Kluyveromyces lactis: one gene and its partner. The protein of the gene in region 2 binds, or shares a complex with, the protein of the main gene of each other region. Links are inferred from orthologs where the notes say so. Each region holds a gene or a part of one and is shown on either strand. Other genes may lie near its edges. The genes, in order: VMA7 and VMA22.

What was found.
Region 1: the proteins of VMA22 (region 2) and VMA7 are in contact, whole or in part, in a cryo-EM structure (PDB 8EAS), measured with the Saccharomyces cerevisiae proteins. The link is inferred for Kluyveromyces lactis from reciprocal best matches to the Saccharomyces cerevisiae genes VMA22 and VMA7. Residues at the interface, in NP_011927.1 of Saccharomyces cerevisiae: Tyr17, Leu20, Leu24, Tyr27, Leu31, Leu34, Gln35, Phe38, Tyr42, Leu45, Ser46, Tyr60, Gly61, Glu62, Trp65, Asp66, Glu67, Thr68, Tyr69, Ile70, Gly71, Gln72, Leu73, Met74, Ala75, Val77, Val86, Ile88, Lys92, Pro132; in NP_011534.1 of Saccharomyces cerevisiae: Glu3, Arg5, Thr6, Ile8, Glu14, Asp15, Thr16, Thr17, Thr18, Gly19, Leu20, Leu21, Leu22, Ala23, Gly24, Ile25, Gly26, Gln27, Ile28, Thr29, Pro30, Lys35, Val39, Gln41, Ala65, Ile66, Leu68, Asn70, Ala90, Ile91.

What each region holds. Positions count from the first base shown.
Region 1 is NC_006040.1:369,505-379,546, forward strand, and holds VMA7 (H(+)-transporting V1 sector ATPase subunit F), read left to right. Parts: upstream 1-4,622; coding exon 4,623-4,979; downstream 4,980-10,042. Other genes in the region: KLLA0_D04356g (nucleobase:cation symporter-2 family protein), read right to left, coding at 1-1,773; post-initiation translation factor DPC29, read right to left, coding at 3,136-4,038; CHS5 (Chs5p), read right to left, coding at 5,127-6,695; succinate dehydrogenase flavoprotein subunit SDH1, read left to right, coding at 7,920-9,875. UniProt on the Saccharomyces cerevisiae protein: Subunit of the V1 complex of vacuolar(H+)-ATPase (V-ATPase), a multisubunit enzyme composed of a peripheral complex (V1) that hydrolyzes ATP and a membrane integral complex (V0) that translocates protons.
Region 2 is NC_006039.1:1,287,212-1,297,234, reverse strand, and holds VMA22 (Vma22p), read left to right. Parts: upstream 1-5,438; coding exon 5,439-5,951; downstream 5,952-10,023. Other genes in the region: KLLA0_C14850g (uncharacterized protein), read right to left, coding at 199-2,082; PMT7 (putative dolichyl-phosphate-mannose--protein mannosyltransferase), read left to right, coding at 2,633-4,522; SRB7 (Srb7p), read right to left, coding at 4,787-5,218; GIC2 (Gic2p), read right to left, coding at 6,271-7,377; KLLA0_C14740g (uncharacterized protein), read right to left, coding at 7,849-8,409; RNA-binding RNA processing protein RPP1, read right to left, coding at 8,930-9,787. UniProt on the Saccharomyces cerevisiae protein: Required for V-ATPase activity.

The DNA of each region.
Region 1 (10,042 bases), on a different chromosome or scaffold from region 2:
GGATTCCGATGCCGCTTCTTTAGCTTTGTGACTCAAAACACGGAGCGAGAGTGGTTGATCATCTTCTCCTTCAAGCATACTCAGATTTTCTTGTTGAATTTCAATATCGTCCATCAGTTCTTCATCCAATTCTTGTGGTAGTAGTTGGTTCATTATAACACCAACGATGGCACACACAGCGAAACCCGATTCCATGATCAAAACAATAGCATTCAAGAACCCTTGTAGAGTGTTATTGGAGCCGTTGTAATGGAAGAAGGTACCAAACCAGGTTGGTACGAGAACGGCGCCGATACCTAGTGCTAGAGAGCAAGTCAAAACAAATCTGTCACGTCTGGTCAAAGGTATTGTAGAGATAATCTTGATACCAGATACAGCAACCGATGTGAATAAGAATGTGGTCATCCCCCCTAAGACAGGTTTTGGAATTGCAACTAGTGCAGCTCCAAACTTGGCAACAATACCCATGAGGAACATAAAGAAACAACACCAGTAGCCGACTTGTCTGCTAGCACATTTAGTAATTGAAATGACACCATTGTTCTGTGCGAAGGTAGACATTGGGGTTATGGTACACAAACCAGAAAGAATACCACTGAGACCATCACAAAGCACACCACCTTGAATTCTTGATTCGTATTCAGCACCTTCCGTTTCCAATCTAGACACGTCACAAGTAGCTGTCAAATCACCCATAGCTTCTGTTGCCAAGACGATATATAAAACTAACATCGGCAACACAGCAGGTCCATACACCGAAAGCTTAAACGTGTGAACCCAGATGAATGTTCCACCAGGAGCAGCATCTATGGAGGTTTTGTTAAAGTAGCCACATGCTGCAGCAACGATACAACCAACCAACAAACCAAGGATGACAGCACATGATTTCATGATTGGAGCACCGTACTTCTCAAAGATGATAATAGTGGAAAACACCAAGAAACCCAAACCGACGAAACGGGCAGACCCCCAGTCACCTGCCATGGGAGCACCTTCTGAGGGACAAATGGCACCAACACATCCTGAACCACCGGCCCAGTCGCTGAACCCTGATTTGATAAGACTGAAAGCGATACAAAGAATGACGGGACCTGTGACAATCTTTGGAAACAAGCTTTGTAAAATATTAGCCGGAGTGAAGGACATAGCAACTTCGAGCAAACCACAAACACAGGCGGTACCCAAGATAGCACCATAGCCATCAGGACAAGCTAATTGCGTGCCATCTTCGGACACTGGGCAAAATCCTGTATCATACATCATGGGGAAAACATTTCCGACCAAAGTAATACTAGCGAATGAAGTACCTAGCACAGAAATAAGACCAGAACCCACGTAGTATGAAGTAAATGGGATAGGGACTCTTGTAATTTGTATGGCTGACATGAGACTAGAAACGATCAACGAAGCTGAAACCAAATATTCTTGAACACTCTGATCGAGGTTTATCATTGTTGATATCAAAATTGGAGGCGAAATGACACCAGCCAACATAGACAACGAGTGTTGCAACCCAAGAATCATACCTAGTACAACGGGAACGTCAGCATTAAGTGAGAAAAACGGTTGATCTCTATGAACAAGTTCGACACCTCTTTTCCTTGCTAAATACTCTTGGAATGGATACGAAGGAGTGAAAAGGAAAGCGTAATCATAGTCACCTAGAAGACCATCCTTGGTAGTCCATTTTCTAACCACTTTTTTCACAACATCCTTCACAGGTGCTCTTTTCACATTGTCCTGCTCTACAGCATCGGCCAAAACTTGATCCATCTTTGGGGTTATAATATATCAAACTGTTTGGTTACAGAAGCCTTACTTCCTTCTAGAATTCCCACTTGATTCAAACTGAATACTCTTACTGTTATACGAGATCACAAAACAGAAAGGGACCATTATTCTGTCAAACTTCTCCATATATGTATGTGAGTGCAGATCTGCTGTTTTGTAGTTGTAATGTTTCTATATCTTTTAACTTTCCTGGGAAACTATCTTTTCTGATTTCATTAGTTAAATCCTTATCTAAGTGATTCGCAGGACTCCGAAGCAAAAATAAGGGAAATGTTCGTGGTTTAGACAAAGGAAATGCTAGTCAATATGTGAAAAGAAAAGAGAATTTCCGAGTACACATTTACAAGCACTATCAGCCACCTCTTTTAATTCTTTGCAGATATCGCTAAAACGTCTATCGGTCAACTACTCAAATTGATTTGATCAACATAACTTTCGATTTTCAAAAATAAGCATAATATTTCTTCCTTTCCTATAGGTTTTCTCCGTCACAGTCAAAAAGGTAACGTTATAACTCTGACAAGAATCTGCAAGCTAATTGCAATCAGGAATTTCGACATGAGAAACCAAAAAAAGAAGGTGGAACTGTCGGTTTTTGCTATGCCTCATCGCATTGCAGTTCACCTTTAGCTCCAAGTGCTAATGAATTTCTTCATTTTTCTTTTTTTTTTAGCGCCTGTTATGCGTGTCTCTTGATCCGTCTCTAAGCAGTGAGAAGGATCCAACCATTGGGTAGTAGTTTGAATAAGTCAGTCAGGTGTTTGATAAACTTCTTTACTGGTCAATTTTCAATACAAACTAGATCTTAGTTAAGCATTTGTAAATAAGGCAGCTAAGCTGCTTAAAGTGAATGTTTTTCTGATAGTTTTCACTGCATAGTGCGGGGACTCACAAAGTGAAAACAAAAATTAACTACTGGGTAGTAAACTGACGTGTGGTTGCAGATAACGATTGAACGATGGTTATGACCGTTATCCAGTCTGAACCGTCTCCTCAGTATACAATCCACATTCTGATAAGAGATAATCATGAAGAGAAAGGGCGCATCCTCACTATCTTTTCCTGGAGAGGTGTTCCTTTCATGTTTTTTTTTTGTTTTTACCCTGGAAGAATGACTTTTTACTACGTTGATTTCTGTGTTCGAGGTGCGGCCATCCCCGTGTCTGAGAATTCAAGATGTCTATCGGCCTTGATGATAAACATATTCGACATGAGACCTATGGCAGACGTAAATGTGCACAACTTTGCAAGTGTAGGGAAAGCTCTTGATTAAATAAAGATATTTACATGAAAGTTAAGCGAAGTGAAGTAATTTGACAGAAGGTGTTTGTCTTGTTGTTATTCTTATTCTTTGATGTTGGAATAGATCTGCGTAACATCGTCGATTTCTTCTAATTGATTGATGAATTTCTCTAGCTTTGCATGTAATTCAGTGTCAGTGACGGGACTCATCGCTGTCTCTTCACGAGGAACATACTCCACTCCCATTTCTCTGATATGGAACCCTTGATTCCTCAACGTTTCAGCCACTTTGTTAGTCTGTTGAGCCTCTGTGATAACTTCGAATAGTGCGCTAGCATCATTACCGCTTGAATTCTCATCTTGCGATGATAGTGGTTCGCTTTCCCCAGTAGTATCTTCGCTGTTTGGAGTATCCTGTTCTAAATCTTCCACTCCATCTATTTCCAACACTATGTCCATCACTGAGTCGAAATCTCTGGGTTGATCTTCTTTAGGTTCAATGACAACGTACCCTTTCCTTTCAAAGAAGTATAAGGTCGGTGTCATGTTTCCATTGAATTTATTGAATGTAGATCTGATTAATCCCACGGTTCTGTTCTTGTTGTCCGTAAGTGCTTCAACGACAAATGCAACCCCAGCTGGACCTATTCCCTCGTATGTACATGGCTCTGCACCAGCGCTTGCGCCATCATTGGTACCTGAACCCTTTTTGATCGCATTTTCAATGACTTTCTTCGTCACATTGTTCTTATTAGCCAATTCAATGGCAGTTGCAAGTCTGATATTCATAGCAGGATCCGCAGATCCACCCAGTTTCACGGCGACAGAAATCTGATTAGCAATCTTATTGTATATCTTGGTTCTTTCAGCGTCGTTTTTGGCCTTTGTATGCTTGATGTTAGCCCATTTACTATGTCCGGCATTGACGACTCTGGTCCCGTGCAAAAACCTTCTGCTGAAGACACTCCCACTACCTAAACTTCTTGAAGCACTTATCTTTAACATGATTCACTTGATGTTTGATGCAATTTAAGCGGGTTAAGGTTCGATAGATGTAATACGATGATCACTTCCCGTTCCATTGGGGAATGTCGTTAAATCCATTTTTAAACTAAGGTCATCTCGACTACGTTTTTTTCACTTTTTCACTTCCCATAAATGTTGATACATAGTGAGATAAAGGTACTGTGGTCAAAAAGTGAGTTGTATACTTTCCTTAATCTGTTCTGCAGGCGGTGAAGAGGTGGAAAGATCTCCATAGAAGCCTACAATGGAAATATTGCTTCATACAGCATATTCCCATGATCAATTGGTAAATAAACGGAAAGGCCGGGTAATGTTTTCTTTTCATGTCTCCCCTTTCAATACGATTTCTTTTAATGAATATATCAATTGAAACATTACACCGAAACGAATTATTGGAAACTAGTATTTCATGATAACTTAGACAACTTTTCTCTGCTTGAAAGAATCCGAGCTGATCATATCAAATTAATTAGCACTCTTCGCTTTGGAAATATTTTCAGGGTTGGCAATCTGTGTTAGGAGTTAAGCCAATTGTATTTGGTATAGAAATATAAAGAGGAAGCATGGCTGACGAAAGGAATCTTATTGCAGTTATTGCAGATGAAGATACAACTACGGGACTCCTTCTAGCTGGTATAGGTCAAGTCTCTAAAGAATCGAAGGAGAAGAACTTTGTGGTTTACAACGAGGGTAAGACTACAAAGTTGGAATTATCTGATGCATTTGTCAAATTCACAGAAACAAGGCCGGATATTGCCATCTTGTTGATCAACCAGCACATTGCTGACCAAATAAGGCCACTTGTTGATGGTTACACGAATGCATTCCCAGCTATTCTAGAAATTCCATCGAAAGATCATCCTTATGATCCAGAGAAGGATTCCGTGTTGAGAAGAGTCAGAAGACTATTTGGGGAGTAAGGGTGTTTATTGCACCAAATGAGTAAGTACCGATGTATAAACTTTATAAATCTTGAAATACAAGAAACCAAAATCAAAGCATTAAATGTAAAATTGTTTATTAGTACATACAGATTGCAGATATTATACTGAAAGGATTGACAAATTTCATTTCTTGCCCTTCTTCTTCTTCTTATTCTTCTTCTTTGTATTCGTATTGTTTGCACCGGTTTGTGATTCTTTTGTGACATCTACAGCCTCTGGAGATGTTTCCTCTGTTTGTGGTTGTGTGAGATCAGCTTCTGTTTCACCGGCTTCTAGCGGAGTTGGTGCGGTTTCTTCAATTGTCTCGTTTGCTGTATTGTCTATTATTTCTGTTGGTTGCTCTTCTGCCGGGACTTCTACAGGAACTTCTTCTACGGATGCTTCGACATTGATCTCTTCTCCGACGGTAGGAGCTTCGGATGCTGGAGCTTCTTCTTCTTCTTCTTGTTTCAGCACTTGTGGCTGATCAGTTGGCGGTGTTGCCGCTTCTGGTTCTTCATGTGAAGATAGTGTCTCTGGCTCTTCTTCTACCTTTTTGGATGCTTCTTGTGCTTCTTGTGGAGGTGTTACCTCTGAGACAGCTGGTTCTGTTTCTTCTGGGACAACTGACTCTGGTTCTTCTTGGACAGCTGGTTCTGTTTCTTCTTGGACGATCAGTTCTGTTTCTTCTTGAACGACCGGTGCATTTTCTTCTGGAGCTGGTTGTGTTTCTTCTGGAACAATTGGTTCAACTACTTCTACTTCTTTTGCAGTCGTTTCTGTCCCATCTGGAGATGTCGCCTGTTCTGGCTCCCTCTCTGGTGCAGTTTCCTTCAAGGCATCACCTGACGAAGGTGCAGCTGCTGTGAACTTGTAATTTAAGAAATTGGATGGATCTGAATCCAGGTAGAAATCTCTGACACCCACGATTCGTTTTTCCAGTTCACAGGCCCTAATCCATTCAGGTCTGACAATTGGTATATTGTTATCTCTAGCATGAGCCAATTCCTCATCGGAAGTAACGCCTTCGCTATCTTCGAACTCTGTTGCAATGAAATGTGTAGTCTCTAAAGTGACATGATCTTGTAAAGGTTTGGCACCGATATTTTGCAACGATCTTTTGATTTGATCAAGTGAAATGTTATCCCCCAGCTTGGTGTTAGGTCCTACACATGCAGTAATACCGGACATATCAGTCATCTTGTGGGTATGCACCTTCAAAGTATTGGACCAGAATTTTCCTGAAGTGGTATTCAAGAGTAACTTGAACTCGTATTCGAAGTCTACCGAGAGACCAGAAATCTTAAGGCTGTTGTTATCAGTAGTTCCATCCCGGTTTGATCCTGGAGTGATTACTTGGTGCCTATTTCCTTGCTTGTACAAGATTAGCGATTTCAATTGAGACGAACCCAGATGGATTGGGTCCCAATGGATAACGCAACTTGTTTGAGTAGCATTCGAGAGATGTAAAACGGGCTCTGCTGGAGGATCGGTACCATACTTGGCGAGAATTTGTTCTTGCACACTTTGAAACTTCTTTTTCTGTTTAATCTCTTGTTCTAAGTCTTGTTCAACAGTAATGGTAACGACAGACCCTGCTTCCACTGATTCTGGTAATAAAACGGTAGGAAATTCGATAACGTAGTGGTCTGCAGTCGTGAGAATGGCGAGCGACGCGTCGACTTTCCCGACGGTGAGCGATACTTCGACCATAATTGCTAATTGAGGGGTCTAGTGCGCGTTAAGCCTGTGTAATTGTGCACTATTTTCCCTTTGACAATCTGTTGTTGTGTATATTCCATAGATTCGAACTTGTATATGTGTGCTAAAATCAAATCTGATATATAAAAATAACGAAACAGGAAGAAAAGTGGGCAATTCTTAGGGGCGTGTTACCCGGGGTATAGTTTTTTCCTTCCTTGGACCCAAGTATGTATTACCCGCATTTTGATATATTTTGAAACCAATATCAAATTAAAGTCACGTGAGAAAGTGGACGGTACACTCACGTGACATTGATTACTCATCGGTCTGTAATTTTGACGCCCAAAACTCCGGCTCCGATAGGAATGATCGCACGCATCGCGTACAACTCGAATCCAGGAATCAAGGTTTGTAGAAAAACACACACACGCGTCTGCACCTGCCTTTTCCACCCCGGGTAATACACTTTGGTTACCCGTCCTCCTCGAAATGTCCCCTTAGACCGAGAACGGGACCCGTTACCGCCAATCCGTGATCACGAAACAGTAAAAACTCTCAGAACCGCCCGCAACACCTCTGTTTCTCGGAACAAATCGGAGCTATTTCCCCTTCCCCTACAGAATCCTCCATCCTGGTCTCTCCGTTGAATGAAACAGAGGAAAAAAATGCCTAACGGGTTCGTCAGCAACAGCGGTACACCACATACCGGACAGCGACTAACTCTTCCATTCGGTCAGTCATTTTTCAAATCTGTGCGATTCCATTTCCCTTCAGACGTTAATTATGTATTTGGCTTTGGTTTTTCCTGTTTTTTTTAGTTCTTTGAGTGTTTAAAACTGAACAGAAATTGTCGTATTATTATTTATTTCGGTTTGCATAAATATTTCAATACATATATATATATATTACATATATAGCTATATATATAATGTTCAACATAAGACAACTTTTTCTCCTTTAATACTAAACTGCTAGAGGATCGTAATTTTTTTTTCCAAGACGACAGATAAATTCTTTTCATTCCCACTTCCGGATCCCCTGAATTATTCTTCTTGCCAGGTGACTTTCTGCTTTTGACCTTTAAAAACGGACGTCTCAAAAACCGAAGCCGAAACCGAGACCGAAACGGAGTATTTATTATACTAGGAAGGTAGTAAAAGTAATACGGAATTGGAACTGGAATCAACAGCGAAGAATTTTTTTTGCAAATATTCATCATTACACTATACACATATGCTTAGAACAGTAAGAGGAAGGAGAGTTGGCCTTGCTCAGGCCAATTTCAAATCATTGGTGCAAGCCAGAAAGTTTAGCTCTCAAATGGTTTTGAGACAAACGATTTCGGCCAATGGTGACATCAATGGACAGCAGCAAGAGGCTGGGTCATCTTCCAGCCATGGATATAACATCATCGATCATGAATACGACTGTGTCGTTGTTGGTGCTGGTGGTGCTGGTTTACGTGCTGCTTTTGGTCTTGCAGAGGCTGGATACAAAACTGCATGTATTTCTAAGTTGTTCCCTACTAGATCTCATACCGTTGCTGCGCAAGGTGGGATCAACGCTGCGTTGGGTAACATGCATAAAGATGATTGGAAATGGCATATGTACGATACCGTGAAGGGTTCGGATTGGTTAGGTGACCAAGATTCGATTCATTACATGACTCGTGAGGCTCCAAAATCTATTATCGAATTGGAACATTTCGGTGTACCATTCTCAAGAACCGAAGAGGGTAGAATTTACCAAAGAGCCTTTGGTGGTCAATCCAAAGAATATGGTAAAGGTGGTCAAGCTTACAGAACTTGTGCCGTCGCTGATCGTACCGGTCACGCTTTACTACATACTTTGTATGGTCAAGCTTTAAGACACAACACCCATTTCTTTATTGAATTCTTCGCTATGGATCTTTTGACCCATAACGGTGAAGTCGTTGGTGTTATGGCTTACAACCAAGAAGACGGTACCATCCACAGATTCCGTGCTCACAAGACCATTATCGCTACTGGTGGGTACGGTCGTGCCTACTTCTCTTGTACATCTGCTCATACTTGTACAGGTGATGGTTATGCTATGGTTTCTCGTGCTGGTTTCCCATTGCAAGATTTGGAATTTATTCAATTCCATCCTTCCGGTATCTACGGTTCCGGTTGTTTGATCACTGAAGGTGCTCGTGGTGAGGGTGGTTTCTTGGTTAACTCTGAAGGTGAACGTTTCATGGAACGTTATGCTCCAACTGCTAAGGATTTAGCTTGTAGAGACGTTGTTTCTCGTGCCATCACCATGGAAATCAGAGAAGGTAGAGGTGTTGGTCCAGAAAAGGATCACATGTTCTTGCAATTGAACCATTTGCCACCTTCTGTGCTTCATGAACGTTTGCCAGGTATCTCTGAAACTGCAGCCATTTTCGCCGGTGTCGATGTCACTAAGGAACCAATTCCTATCTTACCTACTGTCCATTATAACATGGGTGGTATTCCAACTAAGTGGAACGGTGAAGCTTTGACTATCGATGAAGAAACCGGTGAAGATGTTCTCATCCCAGGTCTACTTGCCTGTGGTGAAGCAGCTTGTGTCTCTGTTCACGGTGCTAACAGATTGGGTGCTAATTCCTTGTTAGATTTGGTCGTGTTCGGTCGTGCTGTCGCTCATACTATCGCTGACACTTTGCAACCAGGTTTACCTCATAAGCCATTGCCAGCTGATTTGGGTAAGGAATCTATCGCTAACTTGGACAAGTTGAGAAATGCTACCGGTCACAGACCAACCGCTGATATCAGATTGGCCATGCAAAAGACCATGCAAAAGGATGTTTCTGTGTTCAGAACTCAAGCATCCCTAGATGAAGGTGTCAAGAACATTAACGCTGTTGATAAGACTTTCGTCGATGTTGGAACAACAGACAGATCCATGATCTGGAACTCCGATTTAGTCGAAACTCTAGAGCTACAAAACTTGTTGACCTGTGCTACTCAAACCGCTAAGTCTGCTGCTGAAAGAAAGGAATCTCGTGGTGCTCACGCTAGAGAAGATTATCCTGAAAGAGATGACGTTCACTGGATGAAACATACCCTATCATGGCAACGTGATACCGGTGACGATGTCGTCTTGAAATACAGAAAGGTCATCGCCACCACCTTGGATGAAAAGGAATGTCCTCCAGTCCCACCAACTGTTAGAGCTTATTAAGCAGTTTAATTGTGTCCTTTTTTCTATCAAATATTGGGATGTACAAAGGATGGGTAAATGCTTATTACTATTCTTCATCGGTCTCCCCCCCCCCCTAATCTTTCTTTTTTATAGTTATGATAGGAGGTGTGGTTGATTGTTGTCGTTGTTTTTATCCTATCATTTGT
Region 2 (10,023 bases):
AAGGTTTCTTGTTTTATACCACCGATATTGAATGATATTGTATGACAGAGACAGCTAAAATCACAAAATGATGAGAAAAGGATTACTTATGCGGCAGGCAAATGATACTGAAGACAGTAAAGGGAGCATTTACTGAGGAGACCTACTGCGTTGGTGAGCAAAATGTGGTTATATTGTGTATATATGATTTTTTATTAGCTAAGTTGGGGCGTTTATTGCCTTTCTGACAGAATTGTATATTTTATATGGCATTAACTTCTTCATTGTCTTAACAGGTTGCTGAAGGAAGGTTGATGTAAATACGATTATCTTTACCATGGTACTAAGTAGAAAATTTTTTGATGGAATTGTTTTACTGCTTTTATTGGTTTCTTCATCTAATCTTTCTCTCAGAAGAGGAACGTAGCTTTCTTCAAAGTGTTCGACACTTGATACAGAAACCAGTTTTATTGATTCGTTCTGTTCAACTTTTGTGGACTTTTTGAGCAAGGGGCTATGTAAAATTGATGGTGGGTTCAAAGGCGGGGTTGACTCCAGAAGAATGTCTTCATCTACGTCTCTGCTCTTGCAAAAATTCATTACCGTACTTTTATCTTTGAAAATGTTAGCGTTCTGATTCTTGTTCACCCTTCTTTGTGCCAAATCTTCCTGTTCCTTCAGATCATCCGCTTGCTTTTTAAACCTATTCAAACCCTCTTGTGTCAAATCAATATAAAATATTATGAGCATTACTGCAAATCCAACTCTCTGGGAAGAACCAAATCCTATGTGCCAGAGGCAGGTGTAAATCGGAGAAGAATTTCCATCAGGAGCCAAACATAAATGTATGGCAGAAGCTCCTATTGAAACAAGAATCGCATTCATTAGGCCATATATGAATAGCTCTTTCCAGTATTTTCTCAAAATTGGATGCAATTCATCATATTCCATTAAGTATTGGTATGCATAATCATAGATTTCCCTGATGGAGAAAGTAATATCATATATGTTTCTTGATATCACGTAAATAGTCATATAGCAACCAAAAAGCCTATCAACTTCAGATAAAGTTAGGTATTTGGTATTAGTCAGTAGGTCGTAAGATTTACCTGAGAAAGTGTATTGTTCGTCTGAGAACGACAAAATATGTACGGTGACAAAATAAGCAACTTTCCATTTCACTGGCCATGAAACTATCCATTTCATGTTCATAAGCGCATTGAAATAAGTTGGCTGTTTTTCAGGAGGATCAATAAAGTGATTGAGGTATACAATTTTTTGCGGGAACATTCCTGGTATTTCTTCTCTTATCTTGTTGTTCTCTTTCTCTTTCTCTTCTGCTTTGGCTTCTTTATGGCCGGTATCAATCCTACTTTGAATGAAATTGTTAATGTTATCAACTTTAGAATACGTTTGCTTTATGTCTTCCTTGATGGTTCGAAGTACTTCTTCTACTTGAAAGTACTCTTTATCGTCCTCACCCTCTTCATGTCCACGCTTCACAGGATACTCGAATTTGAAATCTTTATTGTGAAAAAGGGACTTCTGTTGATTTTGATAGTCCTTGAATTCAATGACATTCCCTTTTTCAACTAAGCTAACTCTTTGTGGACGTTTGATGTAATCAGGAAGAGGATACCCAAGAAGTTTAGCACATTTTTCACTTATCTTTTCAGATGTAAATTCGCCATTCAAATCACCCATCGGTTTAAAAAGTTTATCAGTTTTATTAATGGCTCTTCTTTTCAATTCAATCTCATCTAATGGCCTCCATGACAGTTCTATCTCGGAATCTGTATCGTTTTCCTTGCTATCATCATTATCAAAATCGCTATTATTCATTTCCAAATTCTGATTCTCATTGTTTTTGTTAATTGGATAAGGATACTCATTCAAATCATGTTGAGTAGTGGCCAACAAATTTTCCTTGGTATTTCTTCTTGGCATTGTAGTCTTCCTGGTTTCTTTCAACCTCTTCATCAATGCTGTGAAGTCAAAACTCTCTTTTTCGCTATCTGTCGTTGTGCTCGAATTTTCATCTAGAAACTGCCGCCCAAGAGCATGTGGCAACTTATTCGGATTTCCAAGCCTGGGTTTACTCATTGTATAGTTGATGACTTGGTTGAAATTACTCTGAACTATTGGCTATTCATAAGTTTAGTTTCAGGTTCAAGCCGTTTTGTTTTTGGACAGACATCCTTAGTGATTACGATATTGATAAAACTGACGTCTTTATTGAATATTTTGTGTCAAATTTGAAAACTCGAACAAACACAAACGCGAAAAAGCTCTCGAGAACAAACCTGTTGATGAATCTATTGGATCGATAGTGGCTTATTAACTTCCGAGTTGCTTTCAGTGTATGCGTGGAGGTTCACGGTGGCATCCATCGTGCTGCGAAACTAAAATAGATCATTCTCTCACGTGACAGTCATTTGAACTGACTTTGAAATATTTCAACTAATAATAGATTCATATGACCACCTTAGATACAAAAATAAAGGAACCTCGATTAACGTTGGAAAGTGAACTGATGCTTACCACATTCGATCCAAACAAGCTTGTTTTCATTGGCTAGAAACAATATCAATCTTTAGTGTACTTCACGGGATCCTGTTGCTAGGTAGAGATCAATCCTGGTCAGAGATTAACGATGAGTACAAACCCAGTTCGAAAAGGCAGATTTAAAGCCTATATCAAACATGATTACCAGTCATTTATCAAAGGTGATTCGCTACCATATGAAGATAGCCTCGTCTGGGACCTGGCATTGAGTGCTTTAACAGTTGGTTATCTTTCAATGGTTCATTCTGATAGATATGGCGATATTTCTACTAGTGAGTTTGAGATTTGGAATCAAATTACTGATAGAATAAAGGGTAAGTTTTTCATTGCAACCAGTGTACCAACATTAATTGAGGTGCTGGCGAAGCTTACTGATATGTACTCTTTGAATATTGAGTTCTGGAAAACAGCAAATAACGTGGTCTTGGCTAGCGTCCTGGTAACGTTATACGGTATTTTAAGGAAATCTAGCGTGTCAGTAATGATTAGCTTCCTAGTAACGATAATGTTCTCGCAGATATCAAGTTTCCAAGATTTAATTTATACGCTCAACTTTGACTCTTATCATTTGCTAGCCTTAACGTTGCTAATCTTACATTGGAGGAAATTTCAGGCCTCCAAAGACTTTTCCGTCGATTGGTACATGAATATAACACTTGTTTCGATGTCATTGATTTTCGTTATAAGTGGGAAATTCATAGGGTTGGTCTCTTGGATATGGCTCATTATAGTTTCTTTGAAATCACTTTGGATTGTTGTGGGTGATTTGGATGTTAAAAACAGACAACTTTTTGCCATTATGTTTTGTAGGTTATTGTTCTTCGTCGTTATTCCCTTGATGTCTTTATGGTACTCTTACTCATCATTAATTGGTGGTTTCACAACATCGTCAAACTCAATAGCGTACATGTCGTCATCTTTCCAGCATTATTCGATGAGCCAGCACAATGATATTCCATCTTCCATCATTTACGGCAGTTCAATTAGGCTTCGCCATGTTAATTCTTTGGGCGGATATCTATCAGCCTTAGAAATACCATACCCTAAATCTAACGACACATTGGTAACAGTTTCTGACGATCCAGATGATGAGGCTAACTTTTGGATCATTGAATCTAATAAAGGAAGAAACACTGAACAGACAGGTTCGAACGCATTAGTAAAACAAACGGACAAGGTGAAGTTGAGAAACAAGAAAACAGGTCAATTATTGAGAGCTTCTGAGGAAAAACCTCCAATATCAGACAAAGAATATGATAAGAGAATATCAGTAACGGGTGACAGTGACTATCAAGGGGATCAAGATGAATTATGGAAAATTGAAATTCAAGGGAAAGCATCATTCAGAGAAGTTTTGAGACCTTTCAAACAATTCATTGTTTTAAAGAATCCAGCTCGCCGTTGTTCGTTGCTTTCACATGAAATCAAAATTCCGCATTGGGGTGACAGGCGTCAAGAGGTTCTCTGTGTCGATCCTGCCAGAGTCAATAGAGCATTGTTTTATATTGACTTTGTCAGCTCGCCTGAGGCTGGAGTTGTTGAGAAATACAAATGGGCCCCTGAATACCCTTTCTATAAATTGGCTTTTGAGTACGTTGTTGGTCAATTCAGATTGAACAAAAGGCAAAACATCGATAATACGAGCATGTCTCCACCTGATTGCCTGTCTTGGCCGATTCTTTTCGACAATAACAACCAAATCGGTAAAATCTTATGGATAACTTCTACGGTATCTGTGGGCGTGTACACTTTCATGGAAGCATATTCCTGGTTATCTTGGAATATTTTTGAAGATACTTTACTTAATACCACTGCAAACCAATTAATGAAAAGAGAAGTCACCTTGGAGGCATTTTTAGGTTGGATCCTGCACTTATACATTTTTACTTACAGCCTGCACAGAAATCTTTCCGTTAACCAGTATATGCCCTCTCTATTATTTGCGGTGATCATTCTTTCACAGTTCTCTGTGTTATAGAACCAAGAATATCACAGCGAGCGGTGGTGGCATGACGGGGCATGCGGATGCTATGTTTAGTGATGATGTTGCGTGTCATTATAAAAATAAACGATGTCAGACAATCTGTCTGACATCGTTTCGGAGAAGAAGAAAAGGAAAAGAAGCTAAATATCTACTATATACCACTTGATACATTAGACACTATGTAAAAGTATTCTTACTCGCAATTTGACGTTAACATGTGACCCAATTTCTACCGAAGATTTCAAAATGATTCCTTTCTTATACTAAGCGTGCTTCTGTCTTCGATTCATTAATGCCAATCGTAAAGTCTTGGGTAAGTGTTCTTACTTTTTCTTGCAAAGCGTCCTTCCTTTTTATCGCGTCTATCTTTTCCTTCTCCATTTTGATCAATTGTTTCTGTAGTGAATCTATCCTATGTAGTTGCTCTTGTGCAGATACGTCTACTCCGGGTAGAGAATCTATTAGAGCCATTATCTGCCTTGTTTTAAGTATGATGTCTGTTGTCAATTCATCTATGTTCTTTTCAAATTCCTTTTCCTCAACAATGTGGGCCTGAGGATCTGACATCTGCTCTTCTGAATCGTTACTTGGTTCAAAACCATGGTTCTTATCGACATAATTTACTGCACCGCAAAATTGTTCCATCATTTGGTCCAAACATATTTGTAACTGGGTTAATCTATCGGTCATTTTTGTACACTCTTCCTTGCCTCTACTGGAGCTGGTTTGTCGCAATATTGCTAACTTTCTTTCACCTTCGAATTCGTTTATATAAATCATTGACTATGATTAAGTTACAAATATTTCAGACAACTTCAAAAGTTTGGTTTAAAACGTTTATGACTGAATAATATACGTAATATGAGAAGAAACTGCCACGATTTGGATATTAATAGACGCTAGGAAACCAATGATGACGGAGGATGACATATATCAACTCATTGTTAAGAATCTTGCAACCTATGATTCTCTATTAGAGCAGTTGCAAGCTAGTTTTGAAGAAGGTTACCATCAGTTGAGCAGAGCGAATTATCACAATAAGAACACACTTCGAGGATCATATGGTAAGGATTACTGGGACGAAACTTATACAGGAAACAGGTATATCTCCATTAATGACAAGCACTCTGTTTCGGAGACTGAAGAGCCGTTGCATATTGCCAATGACGAAGAAATCATTCCTGAGAAAGATGAAGCAACCAATGAGAATTTAAAGAAGAGAAAACAAAGAGAAAAACTATTGGCAAAGGTGAAGAAGGATCCTATATATATGTTCGGAGGTGCCCTTTCAATCCCAAGCTCTTTGAAACAATGTCAATTATCTTTCAAAGCTTCGATGCCGGTACTTTATCAACTACTAGAACTTCGACGTACTCTTAATGGTCTACTTGACGCACTAGGGACTCTGTCAAATTCAGCTTAAGAACTTTATAATTGCTATGGGAATGATCTTATATCAGAGTTAATACAAAAGAAAACTATCTGTACAATTGCTAATTTGGAAAGAACAGTTTACTGGAAACGAAAATAACGTTGGATGGCGCCAATTGAAAGACGTACAATGAGTGTATATCTGTACACATGCAGATTGGGGATTAATTATTAATAAATGAACGACGAAGGGTTAATCTGTATCAAAAAGAGAGCTGATTTCAGTAAATGCAATAACGAGTGAAAGATGGGTATATTTTCTTGAGAACAATTGTGAAAGTGAATGGAATGGCCCTGGCCACGGGTGAAGATCATAGAATAGATTTATAGTAAATGTTTGAATTTCTAGCGTAGGAAAACTCACTAGAGCTTTCATCCAATGACGATCCAGCATCACTAGGCTGTAGATAGCATAATAAAACATCATCAACTGACCTTCTGGTTCTTGGAGAGTCTAAGTATTCTGATGGCCTTAAAATTGGTGTCAGAATTGGATCAGAGTTTCTTTTCAATGAGTGCTTTGGTGTAATTGATTTTTTTGGTACTGATTTCAAGTCATCCAAAAGCATAGTCTCTAAAAGATCCGCAGAATTTACTGGTGTTTCCCATTGGAATTTGTCTATTTTCTTGTCTCCCGTTTCAGGTGTTGATACCTGGAGGATTGATTGTTCTTCTAGCAAAGTTGGGAACTGATAGTTTTTTAGGAAATCGACATCTACTTCACTGGCATCTGATTGAGAATATTTATGCTTCAAATGTGTCTTCTCTAGGGTAGTTAATTTTGAAATGGAACGCATATGCGAATCGTTTAGCAAGGAGGTAGCCATTGTTGAAGTTGATGTCACTCTTTGGTTCGAGTACGTACTGGATCCAACCGAAGAACGTTTTGTAGATGACCCTCTAGAAACCAGATGGTGTTTAGCATATGGAATTGCATCTGTTACGAAAGCTTTAGTCATTTGCGTTGGGGAATTGATTGTTGAGTTTGTCGGAAATTTGGTATTTTCCGGTATATCCTGTAAGTGACTGTTAGATGGTGGTGGTGAATCTGCAGTAGGCATTTCAAATCCTGCCTTAGAATCTGCATGTGAGATGTGATTAAATCCAAATGGGACAGAAATTTTTAACTTAGGAGGTTCTTCTTTACTTGATTTATTTTGAAACAGTTTTAAGAGGCTGTTCTTCTTCTTCTTGAAAGATTTCTTTCCAGATTGTTTATCATACGCATTTGGCGGCAATGGAGGAAGATTAATGTTTTTCCTATTACTTAAGACAGGTTTATCACTATTGATCATTACAACGCCCAATTCATCATCATCGTCAGAATCCAGAAGCTGGTGAGCTTGTAAACCATATAATTTTTCTGTTTCATCGTCTTCATCGAGCCAGATCGACTTGATCTGAGGTACGTTCATCATAAGTATTGGCCCAGATCTGTTGGTTGTTTTATTCGGCAATGCCTGGTTTCTGATGATTCAAATCATGGCCTTTGTACCCTGGATCATGTTTATCCGTTTATATATACATATATCGGCCGCGTCCACAGTGGTAATGTTTCATGCATTCCTAGGTTTCACAATTTTCTGACATTTTTCGCATCTATGGTTAACTACTACTGGATTCAGTTAATTTAGGAATTCCTATATTAGGTAAAAACACGATTTTTCATTTTCGCACCCTCTTCAGGAATGCAGATACGTTTCGTTGATCGAAAATTAATGTTTTCTAACCTCTCTAATTCACCATCGCCAATCCGGTTTTTTCTTTTTTCTTGGGTTTCATGTCTTCTTTTTTTCTTTTGGCGGCCGTTATTTTTTCTCAAGTTTCTACGGCTTTTTTTCGTGGGTTAGATAAGTCATTAGTTGACCCAACATGGTTACCAATTACGACTATTTCACATTTTTACTCCATAGACTTTCTAGACTCTTAGAACTGGCGGTTCTAGGTTCCTCGGACTCTTTGGAAAAGCTTGGTTGGGGTGTGTATTCATCGGAAATGCTCAAACTATTGAAAGAAATTTCAATGAACTCAGAAAAGTCTTTCACTATCGCATTATTCTCGGAGTCATCTGCTGAAATCGATGTCGGGGTGAGATTTACGCTCAATTTTCGTCTGTTGGTTGAATCCATTCTCGGTATCACTGGCCTAGTACCTGCTCTATAATCTCTCTCCATTGCAAAATTCATATATTTGATTTTATCCAATTCTTGGTTCGATAACGGTTCTGTAACAAAAGCCCTAGAGCGCTTGGAAAGGAATGTACTATTATTCGTTCTTGCAATATCAGGTGTCGTTGGACGACCAGCCAATAAGTTTTTAATGTCATCGCATTCGCTCAAGGACTTCTCTATACGTTGTTCCCAATTTTCTTTCCGTTTATCCTTCAAACTGCTTCTTTTAAGAATGGAAGAGCGTCTCCATTTTCGTAAGTAACTCTTCACCTCGCCCATTTTAACTTTGTGTGGCACTTGTTTTCCCAAGTTACTGCCTTACGTACTGTCTGTGTTTTTTATATAATAGACCGTTTCTATGTAAGGCGGTTTATGATTCGAAGAAGAAAATCGTAAAGTCTCCAAGCTGGATACTTTTATACTCTTTTCAATAGCCGCTGAGCTTTTGATCGGATTTACACCATGTATGTGTTGCGGGTAACAGTAACCTGCTCTTTTTACAGATATTAGAATGAAAAATAACTTTGGGTTTAGAACTTGATAGTAAGTTTGACTTTGGAAACTAAACGTAAAATTGGACATGTTAAAGATGAACTCAAAGTGGATTGAAATCACCGATATCATTACTCTTACCCATAATTTCCTAAATTTACCTTGTATCCATCTTTTGCTTAATGCTTATTGTACTATTTTCCTTATATAAATATAAAATCTATTATATATCGTATTATCGGTACTATTGAATGCTTCGAGAGATTCAACAGTAGAAGTGCAGTATGAAAATTAAGTTCATGGTAATTCAGCTTTTTGTTCTTTTCGAGTCATCACTTTCCAGTGTATCTGGGTTTTTCCTTTTGACTATTTTGAACGATGAATTCTGTGTAAAATCTTCATTGACTACATCTTCGTTACCAATACAAATGACTTGCTTATAGCTCTTATTTCTTAATCTACCATTTAGAAGTACCAAACTAGCAAGCTCGCCCATGGATTTACGAGATTTGTCATTCGGAAGCCCAATAAAGTTCAAAATGCTTGTAACTCCAATGACATTACGACATTCTAGTGGGCTGGTTGCTCCACTACTGACCACGATTCCTCTGTTCCTGCAAGTTCTGATCACACTCTTCACGTTAGATACGAACTGCCTACGTGTTCTGATATCTCGAAGAGCGTTAGCATAAACAATTTCTACTTTGACTCCTCTCTTAATGCAACCCCCCATCATGTGATGTTTCAAAAGTGTAGGAAGCCTTTTGTCGTAGTAAAATGATAGCACATCAACATCCAAGCTAGACGTTACGAGAGTAACAGCCTTTTCACTGACTGGAAGGGCTGCCACAATATCGAAAGCTTGCGATATCTTTGTCAACGGCTGGCCTTTTGAAAGGTCATCTATAATAATTGTGATTCTTGTATATAGCTTTAATCCCGTAGATTTCACTAGTTCATCAAAATGCGATAGATCGATAGGATTCATATCATTGATTGATTTTGGGAATTTATCCTGTTGGTTTACTGTGAAATTTAAAGCTATGTGAGTGTACCCTAGTGTATGCAATGTCGCTAGAGTCTTGTGCAGCGTTTTAATCTCCTTCGTGGAAGGCGGTGTTGCAAAATCCTTCTGTGGCCAAGGAACGTTTAAATCAACTAACATCCTTTCAAATAGCTATTTTGCTTTGCAAATTTGGAAGGAGTATTTACAAGTGATTCAACAGAAACTTTTGTTTCCATTTGAGTGTCCAGCATACCTCATCTCATGCTCATGTTTCATTATTTACTAGATTTTTTTTTTGGTAGATTATTGTAATGTCTTTTCCGAAAAAATTATACTTGAAGATATTATAACATACTATGAAGTACAATCCTTACTTGAAAGCCCAACTGTTGAAA